Linked DNA regions of Arabidopsis thaliana. The protein of the gene in region 1 purifies or fractionates together with the protein of each later gene. This does not show direct contact. Each region holds a gene or a part of one and is shown in the gene's direction. Other genes may lie near its edges.

Region 1 (4,294 bases):
TTTATAAGGATAGGGAAAAAAAACAAATTTAGCTAAATTTTCTCAACCAATTTTCTATTAAATAGATTCTTTTCAGAATACAAATTTAAGAATTCTTAAATTTATTCCATAAAAATCTTTGTTTCTGTTGTAACATTTTTTATTTTTAGTGCTATAGATGTTTTTGTTTTTGTTTTCTTATTACGTCATATGATGGTGGTATTCAACTACATACAATCTGCAACAATTCCACGGTACAGTTCTCCCTGCAACACTCAGATTTTCTATGAATGGTTGTACATGTATGATATCCCTGCGATGGACAAACTCTCTCCGCAATAATCAGACCACTATGAACGGCTTTATCCACCAGGCAATGAGGCCATAAATATTTTTAACAGTTGCTTAGAATTGAAAATTTTCTTTTTTGGGTCTTGTTCAATCTCATTGGGCAAGACAAAACAAATTGTTGTGTTAAAAACATTGGGAAAATTCCCAAAAAAAAACCGAACTATTTAAAATCTGCCAGAAAACTACCTGAACTTTTTTCGTTGTCAGAAAAATACACAAACTAATTTTGAGTGAAAATAAAATACACGATCTATTTTTTTTTTCCAATTACCTCTCTTCACCGTAACGGACCGTTAACGACGTTAACCAAATCGTCAAACACTGTTAGTTTTATTTACAGAAAATTTCTGGAAAAAAACCTAACTTATTTAATATTTGCCAAAAAAATACATGAACTTTTTTGTTGTCATAAAAATACACAAACTAACTTAAATTGGAAATATAATACACGATCTATATTTATTTTTTCGATTTCCCTAACCAAATTGTCAAATATTGTTAATTTTATTTACAAAAATTCTTAAAAAAGCTTGACTATTAAAGCAATCCTCTAAAACCTTAAGATCTTGAGTAATATCAACCAAAATCATGTTATTGATGGGTATATTTTATCCTAAATTACTAAATTTTTTTAAAATATCTATCGTATATCTAGATTCGATGTAAGCAACAATAAATTAAAAAAAAAAATACTCCCTTTGTTAACGAAAGTTCTTCTTATTAATTTCTTCAGTTTATTATGGTTAATATCTGAAATGGATAGATGTGTTATATTAACACTAGGATTCAAAGAGGTTCAACATAGATTATGGGTTTATAAGGGGATAAAATCGGCTTTATCGCCACTCTTATTTACCACGTGTAAAGAAAATGAAAAAATATATTTTTATTTAGTTAACCTTTTGTAACCATTACGATAAAGTGAGTGAAATTGGAACACAAAACTACATCATGCTCTTTATTTCAACTTTAAACTAGTTTGTATATATTTCTGGCAGCGAAAAAAAGTTCGGGTATTATTTTGGCAAATATTAAATAAGTCGTGGTTTTTTCAGAAATTTTCTATAAATAAAATTGAAAATGTTAACCGATTTGGTTAACGCCGTTAACGGTCGTTACGGCGAAGGGAGGTAATCGGAAAAAAATAATAGATCGTGTTTTTTATTTTCAATCCAAATTAGTTTGTATATTTTTTTGACAACGAAAAAAGTTCAGGTAGTTTTCTGGCAGATTTTAAATAGTTCGGGTTTTTTTGGGAATATTTCCTAAAAACATTACTATTGGGCAAGACATATTGGGCCAATAAACAAGCCCATTGACAATTTGCATCATCATCTTCCTCGTTTACGAATTAGGTCTTCCTGTGATACCAAATTTAACATTTCCCGGTGAAAATTTCGAAGCTCAAAACTCTAATCAAAACATCGCGCCAACACAATTCAGCTTCATTTTTCAAAAAATCAAAACCTGTAAAGAATTCGGAAAAACCGCCAAAATCCAAACTTTATTCCAAAAAATCACAAAAATGTCTCTTCGCTTCTTCTCTTTTTCTCACCCTTCTCACTTCCATTCTCATCCACCTAATCTCGATCTCAATCCCTCTCTCTTGAATCCAATCAACCATGGCCGACGAAAAAGAGAACTGCGTGAGAATGACAAGAGCAGCAACAAAAAGAAAAGCTTCCATGGAAGCGGCAATAGACAAAGAACGAATCAACAAGAAGAGAGTCGTACTCGGAGAGCTTCCAAACTTGTCCAACATCAAGAAATCTCGAAAAGCCACTACAAAACAGAAGAAGAAATCAGTTTCGATTCCGACAATCGAAACCTTAAATTCAGACATTGACACAAGATCTGATGATCCACAAATGTGTGGTCCTTATGTTACATCAATCTTCGAGTATCTTCGTCAATTAGAGGTAAAGAAACAAAACCCATCTCTAGATTTCTAGATTTCACAATCTGAGTTAGTTTCTCGATTAACACAATTCAGGTAAAGTCAAGACCTTTGGTTGATTATATAGAGAAGATTCAGAAAGATGTAACTTCGAATATGAGAGGAGTTTTGGTTGATTGGTTAGTAGAAGTTGCTGAAGAATACAAACTTCTCTCAGACACTCTTTACCTCGCTGTTTCTTACATTGATAGATTCTTGTCTCTCAAGACTGTTAATAAACAAAGGCTTCAGCTTTTGGGAGTTACTTCAATGCTTATTGCTTCGTAAGCTTTTTCTTGTTTTGTTTGTTTGAATCTCTCTTTTTTTGTGTGGGTTTGTTTATTTGGATTTTGGTTTTGAAAAATTTGTAGAAAGTATGAAGAGATTACTCCTCCAAATGTGGATGACTTTTGTTATATCACAGACAATACTTACACGAAACAAGAGATTGTTAAGATGGAAGCTGATATACTTCTTGCGTTGCAATTTGAATTAGGAAACCCTACAAGCAACACGTTTCTAAGGTTTGATTCTGATTCTTTTGGTGCTCATTGAGTAATGTTTTTGTGTAGTTTATTGTCTCATTGCGTTTTGCTTTGTGCAGACGGTTTACAAGGGTTGCACAAGAAGATTTCGAAGTAAGCTCTTTTTGAATTGTGGTATTTGCAATTTATAGAGAGTATCAAATTTGCTAAGAATTTCTCTTATTTGTTTCAGATGTCACATTTACAGATGGAGTTTCTTTGTAGCTATCTTTCGGAGTTGAGCATGTTAGACTATCAATCTGTGAAGTTTCTTCCGTCTACTGTGGCTGCTTCAGCGGTGTTTCTCGCTAGGTTCATCATCCGTCCAAAACAACATCCCTGGGTAAAGCATTTTGCAAAGCGGTTCTTGTTCTAATTCTCTGTGTTCACTACTTTATATAAGAAGCTAAAGCTCTGGTGTTGAATGTAACAGAATGTGATGTTGGAAGAATACACAAGATACAAAGCGGGTGATTTGAAAGAATGTGTGGCTATGATACATGACTTGTATCTGAGTAGAAAATGTGGAGCTTTAGAAGCTATAAGAGAGAAATACAAGCAGCATAAGGTAACCCTAAATACTATTAAATGATAATTTGAAGAACAATGTTCTTGAGATTCACATGTTTCTTTTTCTATTTGGTTCAATACAGTTCAAGTGTGTAGCGACAATGCCTGTATCACCAGAGCTGCCTCTTACGGTTTTTGAAGATGTCAACATTTAGAGACAACTTTTGGTAATCGGCATAGATAGTATAAAACCAGGTAGCGGTTTCGTTGGTTTCTTTCCTTGGTGTTTTGGCTTGTACATGTCTTAGGACTACTAGTGTGATAAAGGATCTTAATATATGTTTAAAGATTTTGGTTACTTAATGATTTTTTTTGTTTGGGTTATAATTCAAGCGTTCAACACCAATGTTGAACCATGCATTTCCATAAATCTATCTAATGGGTTGATGCCTAAGCCAACCGATGCAACTATACGTAAAAGATTGAGATCTTGTGCACTACATATTCCATTCTTTGACATCCAAAGCTTTCCACTTATCTTCAGTTTTCTTCGTTTTGATAAAAACAACGCTCCATCTTTGTTTTACATTATCGTCATCCAGACATCCACACTAGAACTCGCCATCAGTCAAAGAAAAACTTCTCAAACCAATATTTTGCAGCTGTTCACTATTAGGTTCCACTAGGTTGTATATAGAAAAAGAAGATTGGTTTGAGAAGTCGCTTCTTGTCAAACCAATATTTTGCACCTGTTCACTATTAGGCATAGATAGTAACCGGCATCTGCCTATGCACTCATGAAATCCGTGAATCATATCAGCTTACTGGTTTAGGCGTTAAAAATCGGTGTTAATCGGCTAAATCGGCCGGTTTAGTGTTTATTATTTTTCTTTCAAATATGACATCTTTATAAGTAAAAAACATTTAAGTAAAAATATAATAAAAATACTTGATTACTAAAACTAAAAATTTAAGCCAAAGATTTCTATCGATA
Region 2 (3,846 bases), on another chromosome or scaffold:
CATAGCCGAGGAGCTTCCAACAAAGAGCCCATCATTCTTCAGAAGAAACCTGGGAACATAATATAGTGAGAAAGATATCAAGATCCAACTTTTACGAAATCTTTATCAGTACTCTCTAAAACAGTTATGTCAAAACATATAAAGGAATGAGCACTACCTCGACATCTCAACCGCTTCTTTATCAGTCCCACGAAAACCACCGTCAAGTTTTGCCATCAGGAAGTTTTTAGTAAGCCTGTTGATTCCGATCCCTTCTGTTATTGTATCAAATGGGTTCTTTAGCCGACGCCCTTCAGCTTCTTCTCTTGTGTACATCACTCCCCGTGTTACTTTATTGTACAGACCAGATCCAGGAGGATCAATCAGAAAACATTTAACTCTTTCATTCTTATCCTGTATAAATGCACCAACAAGTTATGAGTTTTTCTTTTGCTTATAACATCCACGAATTACTCATTCTTACATCTTTGATTAGTATAAGCCCTGAGTAATTATACCTGAAGAAACCTTGAAACACCAGCTAAAGTCCCGCCTGTACCCGCAGCAGCAACAAAGGCGTCAATATTACCCTGAGTCTGGTGCCAGATTTCAGGGCCAGTACCTTCATAATGAGCCCTATAATTTGCCAAGTTTTCAAATTGATCTGCAAAGAAGCCACCGGTAACTGAATCTGAGAATAAGGAAGGCTCTTTCACTTCCTCAACCGTGCAACCATTAGTTTTCTCCTGGTGTATGCCATTTGTTTCGCTCCCTAGTCTTCTCTTTGATGCTAACTCGTTTGCTTCGTCAGCCCGTCGCCTCGCAATGTTGACATAGTGATCCTTGTGAGTTATTGACACTGGCCTCACTCTCTCAACAGAAGCTCCAAGGGCTTCAATTATTTGAGACTAAAATAAGTCCAACACGATACAAATTTGAGTGTATGTACAATAATGCATACAAGGGAATTTGAATCATCATCAAGGTATTTAAAAGATATAACCTTTTCAATAGCAGCATCATCAGGTATAACAACATGACATTTACACCCATAAGCCGGAGCAACTGTAGCAAGGCTAATGGCAGTACTTCCTGCACTACCCTCAGTTACAATTCCTCCAGGGAATAGCTTACCAGATTCCAAAGCCTAAACAGAGAAACAAAAAAAACATAATGGACTTGCTTCTCGATTTCAAAAACCACTAATATAAATAGCCAAGCTGATGATTCAATCACTGACATTGTTAAGAGAGGTTTATGATGATCAAAAAACTTTTAAAAGTTGAAACCTTTACAATGCTAATCATAGTGTACCTCTTGAATGATCTTGACAGCAACTCTATCTTTAACACTACCTCCTGGATTCAAAAACTCGCATTTCCCAAGAATCTGATCACCAGACGAAACAAGTAGAATGAAAATTACATCTTTAACTCATAAATCACACTATCAGTTCGTCAGACCAAACAGAAAATAGCAAAAGAACATCGAGAAAAACCTCACATCCAGTAGCCTCAGAGAGACTATTGATACGAATCAGAGGAGTATTGCCAATGGCATCAACAAGCCCGTTTCTCATAGTCAACTTCTCCTTCCTCTTCTTCTTCTCGGAGAGACGGAAAAAGAAGCTGTAAGAAGTAAGCATCAACAACGCCGCTGCTGCAACAACAGCGCCAGTCATATTAACAGGCGCCATTGAAGCTCAAGCTCGCCTTCTCCCGTAATCAAACCGGTGAAGTAAAATTAGGTCGTCGGCAAAACAACACTATTTCTATTATTTGTTATTCTAGCCCCCAATATTTCCTTTAGTTAAAAATAAGGCACTAACATTTTTTAAATTATCAGATGCGTCCTTCATTTGATTTGTTCTTAAACTCGTCTCCTGAAGGCTGAAACCCTTTGCTCTCACTCCCAAAACGATGTCGTCTCTATCTCGCGTTCTCCGTGGCACCTTCAACACTTGCCCGATCCGCCGTTTTTCCTCCGCCGCCACCGTAGTCTCCGAACCCACCGCAGTCACTGCCGCAATCTCGCCTCCTCAAAAGTCACTAACCAGTCTCGTGAATGGCGAACGAAACCCCAAACGGATCGTGGAGAAATTCAAGAAGGCATGTGAGTCGGAGCGGTTCCGGACCAACATAGCCGTGTACGATAGAACCGTGCGCCGTCTCGTAGCCGCAAAGAGATTACACTATGTCGAAGAGATTTTGGAGGAGCAGAAGAAGTACCGCGACATGTCAAAAGAGGGATTCGCGGCGAGGATCATTTCTCTGTATGGAAAAGCCGGCATGTTTGAAAATGCACAGAAGGTGTTCGAAGAAATGCCAAACAGAGACTGCAAGAGGTCAGTGTTGTCCTTCAATGCCTTGCTTAGTGCATATAGACTTTCCAAGAAATTCGATGTGGTTGAAGAACTTTTCAATGAGTTACCTGGAAAGTTATCAATCAAACCAGATATTGTATCTTACAATACTTTGATTAAGGCATTGTGTGAGAAGGATTCTTTACCTGAAGCTGTTGCATTGCTTGATGAGATTGAGAACAAGGGACTAAAACCTGATATAGTTACATTCAACACACTTTTACTGTCTTCGTATCTAAAGGGACAGTTTGAGCTAGGGGAAGAGATATGGGCTAAAATGGTGGAGAAGAATGTAGCAATAGACATCAGGACTTACAATGCTAGGCTGCTTGGATTAGCCAATGAGGCGAAATCGAAAGAGCTAGTAAATCTCTTTGGAGAACTTAAGGCTAGTGGGCTCAAACCTGATGTTTTCAGTTTCAATGCTATGATTAGAGGATCTATCAACGAAGGAAAAATGGACGAAGCTGAAGCGTGGTACAAAGAAATTGTGAAGCATGGTTATCGTCCTGATAAAGCTACCTTTGCTTTATTGCTTCCTGCTATGTGTAAAGCAGGTGACTTTGAGTCTGCGATTGAGCTCTTCAAGGAGACATTCAGTAAGCGGTATCTTGTCGGTCAAACAACGTTGCAGCAGTTAGTTGATGAATTGGTGAAAGGGTCTAAGAGAGAAGAAGCTGAGGAGATTGTGAAGATTGCAAAGACCAATGATTTCTTAAAGTTGAAGCTAAATTTGCCGTCCCAGGAAGAGTAAGTCATTTGCTACTCTCTCACTAAGTGTCTCGTTGAATTGTGTCTGAGCAGCTTAAGCTATATGTATTTGCTGGTGTTGCTTTGTGGCTTTTCTACTTCTCTAAACTTTCCTCTGTGGAAGTAAGACTTGTTTCTTTCTATGTAGTTTCGCTTATTTCACTGGTGCAAAAAACAGCATGTAGTCGAGGTTTAGGCAGAAGAAACCCTACAAATTTAATAAATTTTGGTTATTTGTTTTCTCTTTTTGACACGAATGAATTTATTATTTTTGTTGGAAAAATATTTTCATTTTATTTGGTAAATAAATAGTGTAAAATAACTTCATTAATTAGTTATTAAAAGCCCGAAATGCAAAAATAAAATAAAATAGATTCTCTTCTTGGTAAACAAGTAAAAAAAACAGCAAAAAAAATAGAAAAATATCGGAGTAGAAATAAACCGACTACCAAACAGTGGATAAGAGAGTTAAAACGAGCCCATAAAACCTGTTTCCAAACAGTCCATCTGTTAATTTTCCTTTTCTCCGATCAATTCCAAAACCCTACTTCAACCCTGCGATTCATTCATCATTCACAGAGTTTGAAGAAAACGCCGAAATCGGAAATGGCGTCTATTGTTCTTCGATCTCGCCTGTTGCCAAGATTAGCAAAGCTCAGATCTCGTAATCTGAGATGTTTCTCTGCGGAAGCATCTTCGACGAATTCTACATCTAGGTATTCGGGAGTCACCTCTACCCAGTCGATGTTTTCTGA

The links. The genes of interacting proteins can lie anywhere in the genome.
Region 2: the proteins of CYCA3;1 (region 1) and AT1G55890 purify together in Arabidopsis thaliana (affinity purification with mass spectrometry, with the first as the bait; one large-scale study listed by BioGRID). This does not show direct contact.

Annotation. Positions count from the first base shown.
Region 1 is NC_003076.8:17,291,275-17,295,568, forward strand, and holds CYCA3;1 (Cyclin A3;1), read left to right. Parts: upstream 1-1,677; 5' UTR 1,678-1,952; coding exon 1,953-2,249; intron 2,250-2,323; coding exon 2,324-2,550; intron 2,551-2,637; coding exon 2,638-2,790; intron 2,791-2,870; coding exon 2,871-2,904; intron 2,905-2,983; coding exon 2,984-3,133; intron 3,134-3,223; coding exon 3,224-3,358; intron 3,359-3,443; coding exon 3,444-3,515; 3' UTR 3,516-3,750; downstream 3,751-4,294.
Region 2 is NC_003070.9:20,899,466-20,903,311, forward strand, and holds AT1G55890 (Tetratricopeptide repeat (TPR)-like superfamily protein), read left to right. Parts: upstream 1-1,777; 5' UTR 1,778-1,898; coding exon 1,899-3,095; 3' UTR 3,096-3,335; downstream 3,336-3,846. Other genes in the region: AT1G55880 (Pyridoxal-5'-phosphate-dependent enzyme family protein), read right to left, coding at 1-49, 158-393, 498-887, 983-1,126, 1,294-1,368, 1,478-1,675; TIM50 (Haloacid dehalogenase-like hydrolase (HAD) superfamily protein), read left to right, coding at 3,698-3,846.